Drosophila melanogaster: one gene and its partner. The protein of the gene in region 1 interacts with the protein of each later gene in a pairwise test. Each region holds a gene or a part of one and is shown on either strand. Other genes may lie near its edges.

The links.
Region 2: the proteins of bip1 (region 1) and mri interact in a two-hybrid assay, tested with the Drosophila melanogaster proteins (2 studies listed by BioGRID).

Annotation. Positions count from the first base shown.
Region 1 is NT_037436.4:8,051,119-8,061,849, forward strand, and holds bip1 (bip1), read right to left. Parts: upstream 7,596-10,731; 5' UTR 7,343-7,595; intron 6,976-7,342; exon of another isoform or gene 6,929-6,975; coding exon 6,762-6,928; exon of another isoform or gene 6,383-6,761; intron 5,258-6,382; exon of another isoform or gene 5,191-5,257; intron 5,091-5,190; exon of another isoform or gene 5,056-5,090; coding exon 4,758-5,055; exon of another isoform or gene 4,683-4,757; intron 4,322-4,682; coding exon 3,527-4,321; 3' UTR 3,215-3,526; downstream 1-3,214.
Region 2 is NT_037436.4:194,335-202,652, reverse strand, and holds mri (mrityu), read right to left. Parts: upstream 2,480-8,318; 5' UTR 2,182-2,479; coding exon 1,593-2,181; intron 1,483-1,592; coding exon 1,285-1,482; intron 1,213-1,284; coding exon 895-1,212; intron 837-894; coding exon 622-836; 3' UTR 501-621; downstream 1-500. Other genes in the region: Gk1 (glycerol kinase 1), read left to right, coding at 1-164, 224-439; rno (rhinoceros), read left to right, coding at 4,066-4,517, 4,579-4,773, 4,847-5,063, 5,116-5,305, 5,364-5,980, 6,050-8,318.

The DNA of each region.
Region 1 (10,731 bases):
TAAATGTAAACTATACAATAAACAAACCAACAAATGAAAAACCAACAAGTGGACGACGCACTGCCCCCAGTTAATGATTCGAGCGGATCGATCCCAACTGGATGGAAAGGAGGGAGGGATCCCATTTCTCCTTGGAGTCTCAAGGCGCCGCCCGAATCAATTCGATTTTAGTTATGATTAATTTGCTCTTAGTTGATTATCATGTAATATAGTTTAATTTTCGACTAACTACACCTCTGTCTCTCTCAATGCTCATCGCTATAGACTATAGCTAAGGTGCAGGACAGGATCGGTTATAGAGGATCAATTGCTAAGGCCTCGGCTGCCCAGAACATTAAATATGTTTAAGACTGAGTTTTCTCATTTGACGATGATGATTGATTAATTGAGGATATGCAATATATAATTCGCACTTCATTTATTTGAAACGACAAAATTTTGATGTAGATTAAGCACTTAAACAAAATTAAAAAAAAAAAAAACGTATACCGTGTATGTGTATTTGAATGTCTTTTGTCTTCAATGTTTAGAGCAAAACAAATGCATCAATATTTAATCGAAAAACGACGATGGAGTAGAAGAAACTCTTGAAGAAATTTAAACTGAAGCTAAACTTAAACTTTTCTCTTCTTCGATTCTCTTAACTGTGCTGCTTTCTTATGTATGTAGTTATTAATTATAGCATTATATATATTATCCAATATATATATACATGGATGAATTAGCGTAAAAACAAACAAACAAAAACAAAACAAAAACCAATATGAATTCAAAACTTTCACGGAGATCTCATAGCAAAAACAAAACGAAATGAAAGAAAAGAAAAGCATAAAGGCACCGAAATGCCAAGGCATTGTGCAGCAAAGTAGAGTTTCTTTTCAACTTTTGTTTATAACTAAAGTTTTTCTTAACCTTAAACATATAGAGTACAGATTGTTTTCCCCCTCATTTGACCAGAGACAACCGCTCGAATTAAATTGACATCAGCATCGACATCAAAATCATTTACATCTATAAGCACATACTCCCCCGTAGTGGTACATATACAATACGACTACGCATACGGATAGTTAGTTTTCGTTCGGTTTAGGCACCGTGTATATAGCATTATCTCCTTATCTCCACACCCCCACCAATAATTAGCCCACATCTCTCTCCTTAGCTCAGTAAGACGGTTAGCTATGAGATAATACGAGTACGAGATAAGTAATGGACATGTACATTATACTACACGAATAGCACAACCCCCGATTGGAGCAGGTCTGAACTAAAACATAATGTAATTGACACAAGATATCGGCTCATATGGGCCCATATAATTTGATTGGCGACTGTAGCGCCTATTTGAAATGAGTTCATAAGTTAAGGATCAACTGTAATTGTAAACTGCATTAGTATTTGACTTGTAAACCGATTTTAAGGATCATTCTTAACTATATATACTAGATACGAATTACGCATTAATTTACGTTAAATGAGGATAAAACGAAAAATTGTGTAAACTGTTTGTATAAAAAATAAGAACAAAACAAAAAAAAGAAGAAAACGAATCCATTTTGTTTTATTTATTTATCGCATTACCTAAAGTGGATCCAACCCAACCCAATGCATTTGCTAATTAGAATTTATAGCCATGTAACACTGCAACCCCAGACAACTAGCACCCACTATATACGATATGTGTATGTATATTTATGGACAATATTTGAGATTAAAACACAACACACCACACACCAACAATTCTTCAAGTTTGTATTAGAATACAGGTACAAAGACAGCATTCCATTGAATACGGGATACCTAAGGATGCCATGTACATCATAAACTTTGAATATAAACCAAATATATGATGATGAGACTCTCAGGGGAGAGAAGTCTATTGAAACCAGAATTGGTCAAGATTGGTAGAATAAAACATAAAAATGATTGCGCTCAGGTTATTAAATGTAAAAATTACAAAATACTCCTATATACATATATGAAATAATCCCAAATTCGCATAACATATAAATAACCAACATATATGTACGTTTACCATGTTTAACAAAAGGCTGTTTGTAGAAATTGTGACACAGTTTTTTTAACCCGAACCCACTAACCCACATCTAAACGACGATTAACCAACTCGATGTGTAAATGCAAAATGGATAATTGAGCATCTTCGACTCCACAGTGAATGTAGTTCTAGTTGCTTACACTAACCAGACAGAAGCTGGCTGCTTTGTGCACTCCAAAAAATTATGTAAATACTAAAGAAAATGATAAATAATAGTAATAATCGTCGTATATAAATTTAGAGAAAACTTTGTGATTGCTTCTCATTGATGATGATGATGACATAACTGTTTCGTAGGACAACATTAAGGCAAATATTTTTTCTTATAAGTAGCATGTAAAAACACTCGATACGCTAACCGACAAAAAGGCAAACGCTATAATGTAGGACACTCCAAAACGTAGTTAACAAACACGATTTAAAACCATATAAAACACACCCTATACCCTCTAAAAAAAAATCGATGGCAAATGCTTAACGCAAAAATATGATATACGAGTTATTGTATGTGTACGGGAAAATTTGCTAAATGTTGTAAAAAGTATATATTACTCGATTATAATGTAGCACTCGAAATGGAGTCACTCCAATCATGTAGAAATCCTCATCCAGTAAAGGCACGCAACAAAGTTCCCTAATACTTTACACATAATTTGGTTTCCTTGACCCGCAAGCTAAATTAAACATGAAGTGTTTAACTGTATATATGTAATGTATTAACCACATTAATCGGATATACTAACTTAAAACGAAACTGAGACCCAAAACATACACGTGTAGTGGTAAATGGGCCGGCAAGAATTGTAAATTACCAAATGCAATCCTTTCTCCAGGACGAAGTGAAGCTGCATAATTTACATGGAAATCGTAAAGACACACTAACCATTGTATTAACTAAACTAAACCACACTAAATAAAACCGCATTAGACTTACTAAATATTATTATAACGTAACTAAAAAAAAAAAAGAAAGAAATATGGAAGAAGAGAAACCGTAAACAAATGCTTTCAAACTAAATAAAGTTCTTTGGAATTACAATGCAAAAAAAAAAAACCAAAAAGATAAGAAAAAAACACTAGTGTTATTAATTGTGGGTCGTGGTAATATCCCCTCGTTATATACCTTCTTATCCCAAAAATAAGACTCTTAGACGGTTTATCTTTCTGGCTTAAATCAAGCTTTCATATATTCAATATAGAAAGAAATTCAATCTTAATTCGTTTTTATGGCTCAACTTTTACAAAATCTACCCATCTCCAGGTGGGTAATATCAAATTTCTGATAAGCTTACATGTCTAAATGGGGAGCTGCTTCAGCTCTTACAATTGGCTTAGAAATTAAATTGGTTCTGCTTCAGTCTTACACAAAGTTATGAAATGCCTTTGATGTATGTATGTGTATGTACGAAAATAAAGGGAACTGCTTCACATGAAATGGAAAATAAACGCTGTGCCCGAAAATACTGATAACTAATCCTTGTTGCCGTAAATACTGTAGCTCTTCTCCACGAAGATCTGGATGGAACGCTTCACGTTCTGCTTGTGGGGCTCGGGCAGCTGTTCCAATTTGGGTAGGATTTTCATTAGGAAGCGGAAGTCGGGCGATAGATTTATGTTCGTCTCGATCTCATCCGAATTCATTGTCAGTTCCGAATTCTCGGACTTTAGGATCTTGGTATTCTGAATTGGCAGTGGCATCTGAATGGATGAAGGCACTGAGCTTGGTGTGGACGTGATCTTTGCAAAATTAGTTGGATTCTTTTTGGGCGGCAATGTTATATGTGGTCTGGGATTGTTAACCACCGGCTTGGCTTTAGTCACCACTGGAGCTGGTTTGATCTGCTTCTGTTCTTTGTCCTGTATGCGATTCAATAGCTCGGGCAGTAGTTTCTCCAAATGCTGGGTAAGATTGGTCTGCGGCTTGTCGGCCATAATCATTAGTTTCTTGCCCGCCACATCTTTATCCTGCTCCACAACCACGAACATCTTACGCTTCTTGGGCTGTCCATTTGTCTCCAGAGTCTGACCTTTCGTCTCATCCGATTTTTCGGTGATCACGTACAGTTTCCTCTTCTTGGCTTGACCGTTCTCCAAGCGGTTCAGTCCATTCTGGGAATCCTCTAAGGCTGATAGTGGTAACGAGGCTTCGTAGTCGGAGTTTATGGACAGCACATCGCTGGAGGCCGAGGAGCTAATGGAGTGGGAACGCTGTGGCATGGGCATAATGCCGGTGTTGGGCTTCTTGGCCTGATGTCTATTGGGGCTCTGCAAAAAAATGCGGTTCATTAAAATACATTTATAGTGGTATATATTTATATATGCATACAAGCAGTTTTAACCATATCTTTAAAATATGAAATTTAAAGAGAAAGAACGTTGAAGGGTTCTCTGAAATTTTAAAAGTTCAGGATCTGTCGCTATTCGTTATAAAAAATTAAACTTTTACGGAATAAATAGCTTTGTACGTATTTTTTTAAGACATGCTTGTATTGTTGTTAAACTAACTCTAATAGCATGCCCGTTTTTGGAATACCATTTAATGCTCAAATACCTATACGATTTATTTCAATTGGTTAATAAACAACGAAAATTGCGTTACGGAGTCTAAAACATAATTTCTGTCTGAACTGAAATTTAGCTTGGGTCAATTACCAACCCCTATGAAAGCTGAACTTTTGTTTTCTTTTGTGCTGCCACTCACCTCAACAAGTTCAATGGTGGTGCTGCTGGCCACCGCCGACTTGACAGCACCGCTCCCAGTTCCTGCACCTCCTCCTCCTGCTAAGGCGCCTGCAATGACCGACCCTCCAGCGGCATTAATGGGTAGCACAATGCCCTTGGAGGACGAGGACTTGCGCAGCGGCGTCATCTTGATGCGGGTTTTGGCCATCTCCTGGCGTTGGCTAAAGTGTCTGGAGCAGATGCGCAGCTTTTGGAGGCCGCCGAGTTGATCCACCAGTTTATAGCTGACGCCAAAGTGACGCAGCCAATGATTGCAGCTGCACGTAAATAAGAAAAATAAGATATAACGACTACTATTACTAACCACCGAAAGCTTAGTTCAGTACGCTTCTTTTGGAGGGGGAAAAAGCTTTTCACACATTTTCCATGTTAACGCAAAATGGAAAACATACCAATTATTGGGAGAACAAGAGTCCACGAGCTAGTTGCGATCGGTTGCGCAGTTCTTTGTTTAATGATTAAACTGACAAAATGAAACTGCATTGGAGTTTCGTTCTGGTTCTTGCGACGCTTTCAAATTAGATCCGACTTTCGCTCTCCGCTCTCTTTATCGCTCTCTCTTGGAAAAGTTCTTGAAAAAGTTTTCGCTGCAATTAAGCTCTTTTTATGCTTCTTTTGCGAGTGCGAACGAGAAGCAACGCTTTCGTACGCTCCTTCTCGCTCAGCGGAAGTTTCGCGGGGAATTGTTATTGTTTGTTGTTGCTGTTGCTTTTGCTGCAGCTTCTGCTCAACTTCCCCCTATTTTTGTTGTTTCTGCCGATTTGTGGAAGATGGGGGAATGAGGCTTATTTTCTTTTTGCCTTATGCTTATGGCTAGGCGAAACAACAACAACAATTAAGGCCTTTAGGGTGGACCGAATGCGAAATTATTGTGCAGGTCAGGGACAGCAAAATCATTTGCCTACTCATACCATATTTAATCTGACTTACTAGCCAAGTTTTAAATAAATTTTAATCGCTTGAAACCATTTTCATAAGAATGGTTTATGCTTAACTTACAAAACCAACGTACAACTGTGTGAAATTAAAATTATTGTCATAATTCACTTTAAAATTTCATACTATATCTTGAAAATTTTTAAACGGAACTCAATGACTACAGTTAGATAACCAACTATTATAATTAAACTTAGCAAACGTCATTCTTATTTCGATTTTGCTTATAAAAGTGACTTTCACTTTTTTGGTCTCAAAGTACATTTAGTGATAATACCGACGAAAGGTAAAATATGAGCTTTCCTTGATAATAAATAAAGCTTAACATTCTGGGGTTTCCTCGGAAAGAGGAAGAATTCGCTTAACAGTGGTCCACTCTAAACTCCATGGCCAATGCCAAGTAACTTTGGCAGACGGAACTCTATTTTTTTTTTTTGCGCACCAACTGCAGAAACTGGAGATGAAGAAGCAGCAAAGAAACACAAAATAACTTCACTTCACGGCCAGCAGAGCAGAGCCCCACGCGCATTTGTTGCATTTACAGGAGAGCGTGAGAGCTATAAATAAATGGGAGTCGGAATCTGGGACCTATCCCCCGCCCACCCACTGCCCCGCCCACATCGGCATTATTGCATTTCTGATTGCTGCACTGCACAAGTTCTTAGCCGCCATGGCATTGAAATATTCCTATGAAAATGATGCACTTTTATGCGAACCGAGAAAAAAACAGAGAGACAGAGACAGAGAAAGAGAGGGAGGGCGAAAGTTCAATGACCTTTGACTGCGAGTATCGGTATCGGTATCAGACGAAGAAGAGGAGCACCGAGCGGGGTCCAAAGCTTTGGATTGTTATGGCTTTAATGGTATGGTGTTTAAAATATAGAATGAGCACTTGTGATTCGCAACAAAAACAAGCTTCGGTGATCGAATCGATCGGAAAGCTCTCCGTAGGCTCTAAAAACAGGTTTAATGTGGTTCTTGGCAGGAGGAACCTACATATGTATGTATGTATGTGTATAATACTCACCGATCGGTATCGTGGACTGGAAAACGACGCAGATCATTGGGCTTTACATCCTGGCAACCCATCAGACAAATCCTGGAGGAAGGTGGCAATACTGGTTCCGGCCCATTCGCGCTAGGATTTAGCGACACAGCCTGGCAAATCCGAAGAGTGGTTATCGTATTCGTCATCTATCAAATATTATTTTAAAATTGGATAAAATCACTCATTTTAATTTAAGGTTATTGCTTCTTTTATCATTTTATTAATAAGCTCTAGTTTAGAAAACCATTAAAATAAGTACATACATATATCTTATTTATTTTCTTATTTTCTTTCTTGGAATAAAAGAAAACCTAGAGTGACCCCAAGAACTTTCGCTCTGGCGAATAAAAGCTTGCTTTGCTGCACGTAGAAAAGCACCAATAAGATGCACATCCACGGAAAAGCTTTTTTGGATAACTTGTGCTTGCCTTTCAAAGCCGCGTGGTCTTACCTTTTACAAAATACTTTGAAATTAAATATAAACATATGTACCCCACATCGCCATTATTTACCTATGCTTATCTTAGGAAAACAGATACATATGTACATAATGAACTCACCTGTCACACAAAGTCTCCTTTTCTCTGACCGGCAGTTCTGAGTTTAATAACCCCACGGCAAGAACTCTAGGTGAAAGCTTTCGGTTACGGAACTTTGAATACAATTGGCGCCGGTTTAAGCGATCGCAGCTAGATACGATTAAATGAAAAGGGCATCTATCTTCTAATTAGCGGTATGCTATGCGGCTCCGATTACGATTCTGTTACGTTCTGCATTCTATACTGCGCTACGTCACTCGTGGGAGCAGACTGTCGAAAGCTCCGCCTGCGTCACGCGAAGGCACCGCGCGAAGCTCGGTTTGGAGAGCGTCTCTCCAGCTTTGTCGAGCTTTGTGCCCATGCGTGCGAGATCTTCGCCGGAAAGCTCTGACAAATTCGGAATCAGGCTGAGATTTCAATCGCGCACAGTAAAAACTACCATTGAAGGACATTAAAAAATAGGTATTTCTTTTATGATTTATTATTTTAATGAGTCATATTTAAAATAATAGTGTTTTAAAGAATAAAGTACTGCGCAATGAATATGTATCAAATCGAAGAAAATAATACTTCAACTACTACTTAATAATATGATGTCTGCGCACCTTTCAATTACGCACCTTGTAGTTGATTGTATATAATATATTAATTGTACATTGCAATACTTAAATACCACTTAACTCTAGTTTTATATGCTTTTCGAGAAATTAGCATTTAGATAGCATTTTTGCTTATCAATTATCAATTTGTAGTGTCATAAATTTGCAACATAGCTAAGCCGCCAACTTTTCCATCCCATAATTAATTAAAAGTGTTAAAAGCTTTCCATAAATAAAGATACCAACAGCTGCAGGTGTTGCTTTGGGGCGTGCGTTCAAATGATTTTTGTACATTAATTACGGCCGCACAATTCGCGATTGGCAGCCTTCATTTGGATATTTAAAAGCCAATCAATTGGCGGTTCGACGAAGTCATAAATTTCAATGGGCGCTCATCAGACGAAGGAGGCAAGCCCCTCGAAAAAAAACAGGGGCGTCGAGCCGCAGATAAGCATCCACTTGTCACATCACTCATATTTCCAAGACGTCAATTTGCATTGTCTGTGGAAATTGCAGCCTGCAGCTTGCAGCTTCTTGCTGTCACATGCCAATTGACCCATTCGCCTGTTATGGCCAGGCCAGCCTCAATTTCTCAAGTGCTAAAGCAAATAAAACTTTAATGGCTAGTTTTACACTAGCCAAATTGTCAATTGTCGTGGCCAGTTGATTGCGTTTTACGACCGACAAACAGCAGCATAATTACGGATGGACCTGCACTGTTTTTTCCCAAGAACAATTGTGAAAACACAAACTACTGAGTGGGCCGCATTCGAAAACGCGCTCAGTCAGCATTTTAATTTCTGTCTGATTGAGCCGAATGACTCGAGCTGGCGATGAATGTAGAAGTAGAAGTGTTTGCAGGCGATGCCAGACGGCGATAATTCCCAAGGGGGCCAGGCTTGATCATCGCCTGTGTGGTCTCGCTGTATCTGTCGGTCTGCCCGACAGCCGGGGGCAATCGTTAACTGGCAGCCGATTATGTGATTGGAATATTGACAATTAGGCGGTTACAAATTGATTTACTTGTAATTTTTCTGGCGCCCCTGAGAGGGAAGCTGGCTCGTTAAAGCAATCTAATGTATGCTCCAAACAAATGGTGATCATTGTGAGGGGCAAAAAAAGTTTTAGTTGGAAAAATTAATCGTTTTGCTGAATGAAATTGGACAAAAAATCTTTGTCAGAAGTGGGATTCGAACCCACGCCTACAGAGTAGACTGCGACCTGAACGCAGCGCCTTAGACCACTCGGCCATCCTGACTCTCAAGAGCCGTAAGATCAAATTTTCTTTTGGTTGGGGACCACATACTGAAACGGTTCATTCTCAAAACTGAAAAGAAGTGTGTGTTTAGCACAAGTAAAAATAGTTTAATTGGTATTAGAAAAAAATTGTGGAAAATAGAATAAAAGAGTATTGTCAGAAGTGGGATTCGAACCCACGCCTACAGAGTAGACTGCGACCTGAACGCAGCGCCTTAGACCACTCGGCCATCCTGACTGTTAAACTAACGAGTGCCAATTTCCAGTTTGGTCAAGAGAGAGTATATTCTTGATTTAATAATTGTAAAATACTTTGGATTTTAGAAATTTTTATTTTTGTAGCTCAAAAAATAAAACGAAAAAATGGCAAAAAGTTCTTGTCAGAAGTGGGATTCGAACCCACGCCTACAGAGTAGACTGCGACCTGAACGCAGCGCCTTAGACCACTCGGCCATCCTGACATTTGTTGTTCGGGTGTCAGAAGGCCAATCCGATTCGCTGGCATTGTACTGCGGCAACATTAAGTATACGCCGTGTATTACGAATGTTTGAAAATCACACTTAACACTTTGAACTTGCTGCCCACACTCGAATGCACTCCCGATGAATTATTATAATCGGCACCCCTGAGGCAAAGACAAATTGCCGTTCGTCGCGGCATGGAAAGGTGTGTACGGACAGACAAGACACGAAATCAACATGCAGGCGATGGAAATGATAATAAAAAGCAGGCGAAATCGGGTCAACGTCATACATCACACTGTGCAGATTGGCAAGTGTCACTTTTTTTATATATTTCGATTTGTTGCCCAACAAATGACAGGCAACAAAATGGCGATATTCATCGCAAAGGTTGCTTAGGGGGAGCTGACGATCGAAACGGGAGTAATTAAGTTGTAGTTTTTCGGTTAGCCAAACTGGCAAAATGTCAACTAGCCCAAAGTGCGGACCGCTTGACATTTCACACGCAGCTGCTGTTGCTGTTACTGTTTTTGTTTATGTTGTTGCTATTTGTTTGTATATTTTTTATATATGCAGCATTTACTGGTCGCACGCACTTTCAATGCATTTCAATTAGTTGTAGCCGCAGCACAGCCGCTCCACTTTGACTTTGAGTGGCCGTACTGGACTGGATATTTTCCATTTTTACAGACTGATGGCAGACACTTGATAGGCCTGAGCGTATGTTAATCGGCCAACTCGACCTGACAGCCCAAGTTAATTAAAGTTTTCGCTCCCAACAGCCACCCAGCGTACATAATTCCCATTAATTTGCTAGTTAGCAACGCAGCCACTGCAAAGACCACCTCAATTGCAGTCGACTCATTATGATTAATGATCGGCATGTACAAGAATTGTTTGAGGACCGCGGTGACCCACAAAAGGCGACACATTTTCCAAGCGTGGCCAACTAGAAATAGAATTAGCAAATTGCCCGAATGTCAATCAAGCGTCATCAATCAAAATTTGTGCTACTGTCAACTCGATCACAATACAAATATAAATAAGCGCAGCCCAGCGGGCTGCAACAGTTGGGTGCAGCTGAAATATTTA
Region 2 (8,318 bases), 7.9 Mb from region 1:
AGGTCCGTGATATTCTCGATTCGATGCACAAGGACTGCAAGATTCCACTGGCCAAGCTTATGGTAGACGGGGGCATGACTGTGAATAATCTGTTCCTGCAGCTTCAATCCGACCTAGTAGGAATTCAAGTACTCCGGGCGAAGATCGCAGAGACAACAGCGCTGGTTAGTACTTTAACTTGTGATGTAAATGCAGCTTCAATAATGCTTCAAAAATGCTTTAGGGAGCTGCAATGGCAGCCTACAAAGCCGTTGAAAACCGATACCAAATGGAGGCTCCACTCTCTAAATCTGGCCCCCGAGAAGCCATAAAGCCATCGATCAGTGCCACCGATCGCAACCTGCGCTACCAAAAGTGGAAAATGGCTATCGATCGTTCACTGAACTGGGAGACTTCGACGCTTCCACAGGGCGAACGGGAGGCCTTTGACGGAGCGTGATCACAGCTAATGTCTGGTAACGTTCATGTTCTTCTATTCGTAAATCAATTGCTTGGTTTTTCGTATTCGAAATTTCCATTTATTACATATACATATAAAAATGTTAATTAAAAACGTAAAGTGTTTTTCTGTGCGCTGTGATGCTCTGGCAGTGTGTTCCGACTACCAGCCGGTCAGTTGATCTACATATTTTCATCAACTATTCCGACGGCAACAGCGATCGCTGCCTGGTCCAACTCGTTGAGCATTACAACGCCCCCGGCCGCCTCGTCGACGGCTACCACGACTGCTGGACCAGCCACGCCTATAGCTGCGGGTGCGACGGCCATACCGGCAGCGAGCTCAGCGTTATTGGGATGCGGATTAGCCACTGCTATAGGGGGAATCGGATTTCCACCTGAAAACGAATTTGGGCTTTAAGGGAGCTGTTACTCTCCGTTTCGAGCCTTACGCACTTGCGTCCAATTCCAGTGGCGGATCTGCATTTGCTTCCGCTAGATTCGTTACAGACTTGGATTTTACACATTGGAAATCAACATGGCGACTCTTTGCTTCCTCCTTCTCCCAGGACATGTGGATGAAAGGTCGCTGCACATAGCTGTAGATGACTTCAGCCCGTCCACCGGGACGCCTTCGGATCTTCTCTTTGTGGGTGGGGTATCCCTCTATGCCACAGCGTATCTTCTTCAGACCGCGATCCTTCATCACCTGTTTGGCCACATCGCGGTTCTCGATGTACTTGAAGAATCGGTGCATGGCAGTGCTGTGCACGGCTGCGTTAGAAATGTTAGTGTTGCTTCCACTTCCGTGATACTAATGCAAACACATTTTTTAAATACACTCACTCTGACAATACTCCTCGCCCATCTGAGGCGGAAACTCTTCATCCCACTCGACCATATCGTCTTCAAGGAGCACCACAACGTGACACTCTCGATCCCCGCGCTGCGCCGAGGCCACCATGAGGGGCAGAATTAGGTCCTCAAGAAAGAGTTCAAATTGTTGTCGCGCTCCTTCGTTGCTAAGCTCGTGGAGAAGGCCTCCTTTATGTCAAACATAACAGAGGGCATGTTACAAGGAAAGAGACGGAAAACAAGCAGAGGTGGCCACAACTAAGGTTCGCCCTGGCAGGAATAGTTCGCGTTATACTCACTTAGGTTCTGGCAGCGCACCGTGGTTGCGTCGAAGGGAATGAGCAGATAATCACAGGCTTCTTTTAGTTCCGGTACCGAAACAGTGGGCGGGCAGCGGATAACACCGCTTTTGTAGTACTCCAGAATGGCTCTGAACACTAAGTGCGAAATGCCGTCGGCAACGTCGTACTCGCCGCGCTCGTTGGTATGAGCGAACTGGAAGCCGGAGCCGAACATCGTGCCAAGCATTGTGGTGGGATGTGCTGTAAGCAGTGATTGCTCCACCGTGAAGCGCACACCGTCCACCAGCATGGTGATCCTTTCGGGAGGGAGCGGCAGGCGGCCCATTCCGGAACCAGTTGCCTGGCAGCTGGGAGATGCTCCGCAAGGGGATTTTATGTCGTGCTTGGGCACAGCACCTCCGCCTGACATATTGTGCTGCGGACGGTTCAGCCGGCTGCGCTCCTTCAGGATGCGCCTCCTCCGCTCCTCGGCTGTTTCGAGAACTTCCTCGCTGCTGTCGCTACTGTACGTGTCCTGCTTCTGGGCAAGGGGCGCCTTGCTACTGATATTGCTACTACTACTGTTCAGACTTGGAGTGTTTGACATGTTTGTTGCGTTTGATGAGCCACTCTTCAAATATTCCAGTACAACACCGTTCCACCGACTTTTCGAGAGAGACAAAGACAATCTGGCAGAGGGCGGTCAAATTAGCGAGGCTCCGTTGAAAAAAAGCCTGCTTATCGCTGCATCAGAGGTCCGATTAAATAGTATTCACGTTACCTTTGTGCGACGCGACTTTTTCCTTTTTACATATAGTTATAAATATACATATTTTTTCTTGTTGGTGCTGGAGATGGGCTCCTGGGTGCGCTCAGTCGATAGTTTTCCTCTGTAATCACAATAACATATTTTTAACCGATATTTATCTTCAATCGCGATGTTTGTTTTCAGCTTATCGGGTTTTTTTTAACGAATAAAAAATTCCTCTCTAAAAAAATAAAAAGATTGTAATTTCATCATTTCGACATTGTTTGTTACATAATTATTAACTTCTATTAAGTTAAGAAAATCTATAATATTTAGAGGTAATAATAAGAAAATTCTTAATTAACATATCTTAACTTAATGGAAATAACTTTTTTTTTCAAATACAAATTAATATGAAAATTCTGTGGAAATTAATTAAATGTTGTTAAAACAAAATACAGCGTTGGGCCGAATGCAACTCTGTATATACCCAAGCTGTGTATCGATACCGACCACCGACTAAATGCACTCGATAGTTTAAATTTGCAACCGTTCATCATGGCGATCTGAGAAAAATAATTTTTGCTCAAAAATAAAATAAATAATCAAAAGAATTGTAATTCCTGCGAACGCAAATGCGATTTTGGGAAACGTGAGTTTGATACGGACGCTTCACGAAATGCGAAGACTGTGAGCGGTCTTCGGTCAGTAACAAGTGCTTGGCGTGTGTGTCTGCGGCGGCAAAAAACCCAAATGTAAAATATATAACAAAATCCCAACTCCCCCAAGAATGGGCAGTGCGAAAGTGGCGCCCTGAGTGGGCGTGTCGCGTGCGGAAGCGCTAGCGACGAGCAGAGTGGCTGTCTAGGTTTGCGGATAGCAATAACAAATAAGTTGTTATAATAAAAGTGTAAAAAAAAGTGCAAAAACTTTGATTGCTTCTGAGTAGTGAAGTGTCGGAGGGGTATGCTGGGTGCCGTGTATAAGCTGGCGGATGCAACACGAACGCCACCTGCTTGCCTCCTGCTTGCACTCACGCGCATAGTAAGCGCGCCCTTAAACGAGCGTGCTATGTGCGAGCGGGAGGGCGCCTGTGGGTTTTGCACCAGTCACCTATTGGCAGCTTGAACGTTTTTCTATATTTTTTGTGTATTTTCGGAAAGCATAGAAAATGTGGACACTTACTGGGAACGCTCCTAATATAAGCGAATAACCCACAAACATATGCCTTCTCTCCCACCAGACTAGCGAATGCTCGTCGAGAATCCAAACCAGTGAGCCAAACGCCAAAGAAAAACTTGCAAAAGTCTGTGGATAAACAACGAACAATAACAAAAGGCAGCAAGCGGAAGGTGGCAGTGGAAGTGGACTAACTCGCCCGTGGAGAAGTGCGGAGCACACAGGACTGCAAAGTGGCGTCGCTACTGGATATTAGGGCTGGGGCAGCAGCGGCGTCCATGTCCACGGGGCACAAAGGGTGGACCACCAAGAATCACGACCGCACCACATCCAGGAGAGCGCAGCAGCAGCAGCCGGTGTGGTGTCGCCAACTGTGGCCTTAAGCATGTAGTAAGTAAATTTGGTTAGTAAATAAATCGCGTGAAATACGTATTGAAGCTGCTTTTGCCTTCTTACTTCTAGGTCTTGCAGCAAAGAACCCGTTCTCTAACAAGCACAAGACACAAGGGACAAGGTACCAATCGAAGCAAAAACACACAAATATCCAATCAACACCAATGAAAAATGTCACAAAGAGGTAAGCGCGGTAATCAGCAGCATCACCAGTCGCACCATCCGCCGCCGCAACAGCATCAGCGCAAGGATGTTGAGCCGCAGCCGCCGCCCACCAAGCGGCGCAAAGGTAGGCCACCTAATGGAGCCACTACGGCAGCAGTAGCTGAAGTGACTGGATCGGGTCCAGCTACAGGATCGGAGCGTGTGCCAGTTCTGCCTTTGTGCAAAAGCAAACATGAAGAGCCAGGGGCGGAAGCGGGGGGAGGAGGACAAGGAAGAGCCGCGGCAGGCGCTACCAGCACTAGCAAATCGAAGTCAACGAAACTGGCAAAGTCGGCAAGCAAGTGCAAGTCGCAGGGGGCGAGTTCTAGTAGCTCCTGGCAGGCGCGGTCTGTAGCGGACATCAAGATGTCGAGCATCTACAATCGAAGCTCAACGGAAGCTCCAGCTGAACTTTACCGGTATTAACAGACCAGCAAACCAATTAGAAACGATTCAATAATATTCAAATTTTAATTGCAGCAAGGATCTCATTAGCGCAATGAAATTGCCAGACTCTGAGCCGTTGGCCAACTACGAGTATTTAATAGTAACAGACCCATGGAAGCAGGAATGGGAAAAGGGTGTGCAAGTGCCCGTTAACCCAGACTCCCTTCCTGAGCCATGCGTCTATGTTCTGCCCGAGCCTGTTGTGTCTCCAGCGCACGACTTTAAGCTGTAAGTTAATACCTAGCATATTTTTTTTTCGTACTTGTGAATTTCTGTACTGAACTGCGGCTCTCGTTTACAGCCCGAAAAATCGCTATCTGCGCATTACCAAAGACGAGCACTACTCGCCGGATCTGCATTACCTGACGAATGTTGTTGCCTTGGCGGAGAACACATGTGCCTATGATATAGATCCTATTGACGAGGCCTGGTTGCGTCTCTACAACAGCGATCGTGCCCAATGTGGTGCTTTTCCCATAAACGCGACGCAGTTTGAGCGCGTCATTGAGGAGCTAGAGGTAAGCTCACTAGACCCCATGCTGAACCAATATATTGACTTTTGCGTTCTAGGTTCGTTGCTGGGAACAGATTCAAGTCATACTTAAACTGGAAGAAGGCTTGGGCATCGAATTCGATGAGAATGTCATCTGCGATGTTTGCCGATCGCCCGACTCCGAGGAGGCGAACGAAATGGTATTCTGTGATAATTGCAATATCTGTGTGCACCAGGCGTGTTATGGCATTACAGCAATTCCATCAGGTAAGCAGCACCTAGTGGAGTGGAAATGTTAGTGTGCTCATGTAAACTTTTGTTTCAGGACAATGGCTATGCCGCACTTGTTCGATGGGAATTAAGCCGGACTGTGTCCTCTGTCCAAATAAGGGCGGCGCTATGAAATCCAACAAGTCGGGTAAGCACTGGGCACACGTCTCTTGCGCTCTGTGGATACCCGAGGTCAGCATTGGGTGTGTGGATCGCATGGAACCCATCACGAAAATCTCTAGCATTCCTCAGTCGCGTTGGTCCCTGATCTGTGTACTCTGCCGAAAGCGAGTTGGCAGCTGCATCCAGTGCTCAGTAAAGCCCTGCAAAACAGCATACCATGTGACTTGCGCGTTTCAGCATGGCCTGGAAATGCGTGCAATCATAGAGGAAGGTAATGCTGAGGACGGCGTGAAGCTGCGCTCTTATTGTCAGAAACACAGTATGAGCAAGGGTAAGAAGGAAAATGCTGGTAGTCATGGGGGAGGCAGTGCCTCAGTCGCAAGCGCCATGCAGAAAGCAAACAGATACGGCAGTGGGGCTGGTGGAGGAGCCGACGACGGCAACAACGCGTGCGGGACAACTGGAGAGGATCCACGCAGGCGGAAAAATCACCGTAAAACCGAACTGACCTCCGAGGAACGTAACCAAGCCAGAGCTCAGCGCCTCCAGGTTAGTAGTTTCTTTTCCGTTGTGCCTTCTGCATGCATTCGGTTGCTAACTTTTCCCATTGATTTTCAGGAGGTGGAAGCTGAGTTCGATAAGCATGTTAACTTTAATGACATCAGTTGCCATCTATTTGATGTCGACGACGATGCTATTGTTGCCATATACAATTATTGGAAGCTTAAGAGAAAGTCTCGACACAATCGCGAGCTTATCCCGCCCAAGTCCGAAGATGTGGAGATGATAGCCCGCAAGCAGGAGCAACAGGACATGGAAAATCATAAGTTGGTGGTGCATTTGCGACAGGATTTGGAGCGAGTTCGTAATCTCTGCTATATGGTTAGTCGAAGAGAAAAGCTTTCGCGCTCTCTCTTTAAGCTACGTGAGCAGGTATTCTACAAGCAGCTGGGAGTTCTGGATGAGATGCGCTTGGAGAAGCAGCAGACCAAACAAGAGCAGCAACAACCTGTGATGGATCTGAACGCTGTAATCTACGCCAACGACGGACCTACTTTGTATGACCGTTTCTACAGCTCTGTGGGAGGACAAACTGTGCCGGCGCAGTACCAGGATTTGAAATACATCCTTGAACAGCTTATGGGTAAGCTGCAGAGTGGTAAACAGGGCCGTGGCCGTGCCTCGCAGTCTCCTAACAAACGCAAGCAGCCTGCTAAAGCTTCGCCAAACAAGAAGCTTAATAATGGCATTCTTAGTTCACGCACGTCATCGCCTGAGAAGACTGTGGCAGGGAGTAAGGTGGGAACGACTACATCCAAGGTACGGTCTCCGCCAGGGAAGAATCCTACAGGGAGGCGTGCCTCGAAGAGCAGCGCGGCGGCGGCGACGTCGACCCACAACAAAAGTCAATTCCACTCAAATATCCGCAGTAGCACGACCTCCCATTCGTCAAGCGGCACTATATCATCAGGTAATTCCAGCTCGGCGAATGGTACCAGCAGCTCCGATAGTTCCTCAGGAAGTGATTCGGGTAGTGAAAGCGGTAGCTCTAGCGCGGGTAGCGGAGTCTCCAAGCGAAAGTCTTCCTCAGGAAGTCCCCTTAAAAAGCAAAGCTACGCTCGGTCCGTTGAGCAGCGGCAAAAACAGCGACAGCGACGTCAAAATGAAGCAGTTGCGGGTGCGTCTGCAACGTATCCGGATTCCAGGTCTGCAAGCAGCTCCAGCGACGGTGAAGACGAGCGATGTAGAAACCGCCAAGAACCAGAGCGCGGTGCGAGACGGGGGCCAATTCAAAGCAAATCAGTACCTAATAGGAGCCAGGCAAGTAGGTCAAAACCTACAACGGAAGCAGACGTTGGAGAGGGAACTGGAGCCTCTGCAAGACGAAAGTTGTCTACGACAACACGAGGACTTGCCCAAATGGATAAAGATGCCGATGAGAGCGTATCGAGCGACGAAAGTGAGGAATTGTTGCCTCTAAGAGGGGAACGACAGCGTGAGAGCACAACGACTTCCGGACTAGCCACGACTGGTTCGGCCATTGGTAGAAACTTGGGACAGCATATCTACTCCGACTCTGAGAGCAGTTCCTCTGAACAAGAAAAAGACCAGGAGGAGCAGGCCACCGTGGAAAGTAATGTTAGTGACTCACAAAACCAACAGACGATTAGAACAAAGGCAGCTATGAAAGAGTTTGTGCCAGGAACAGCAGCCACAACATCCTCTACTTCCCAAGCAGCGTCCTCAACTAGTAAAGCGAAGAACACGCGGGAAGGAAAGGAAGGGGCTGCCAGTATCGGCAACAGTACAAAAACCAAACCGAACCCGAATGCCAAGTTGTATCCGGCAGATCTTTTGGTGGTGCCACAGCGCCAGGCAGCCAAAAAGGCTTCTGAGAACATGCGATCCACAAATCTCGCCACGACGCTACAGCCAGATGTGTCCGACAGAGTCAGAGAGCCAGACATAAACTCCATTTCAGGAACTGCAAAGAGCAAGGTGAAGGATTCAAGCTCTCGTGTGTCGAATGAAGCGGATAAATCAAGTCTTGAAAAAGTACGACCAAAAGAACACTTACAGAAGACTGTTGGAAAAACGTCCGAAAGCGCACCTGCTGAACGTGGAAAGCGCGGAAGGCCACCAAAGGTCCCAAAGGATGCACGTCCGCCATCTATTACGGAAAATGACAAGCCTGCCCTCCCAACGCATACTCAAAGCAAGCCCCCATCTGTCGTCGCTACCCCAGTCTCAGCCAAGTCGAACTTTGCAGTCTCATTGGTTCCTCAACGGCAAGCGGCTAAGAAGGCAGCGGAGCAATTAAAGAGTAGCAAACCCGTTCTAGAATCTTTCTCAACGGGGAACGACATTTCGGACAAAGAAACAGTGA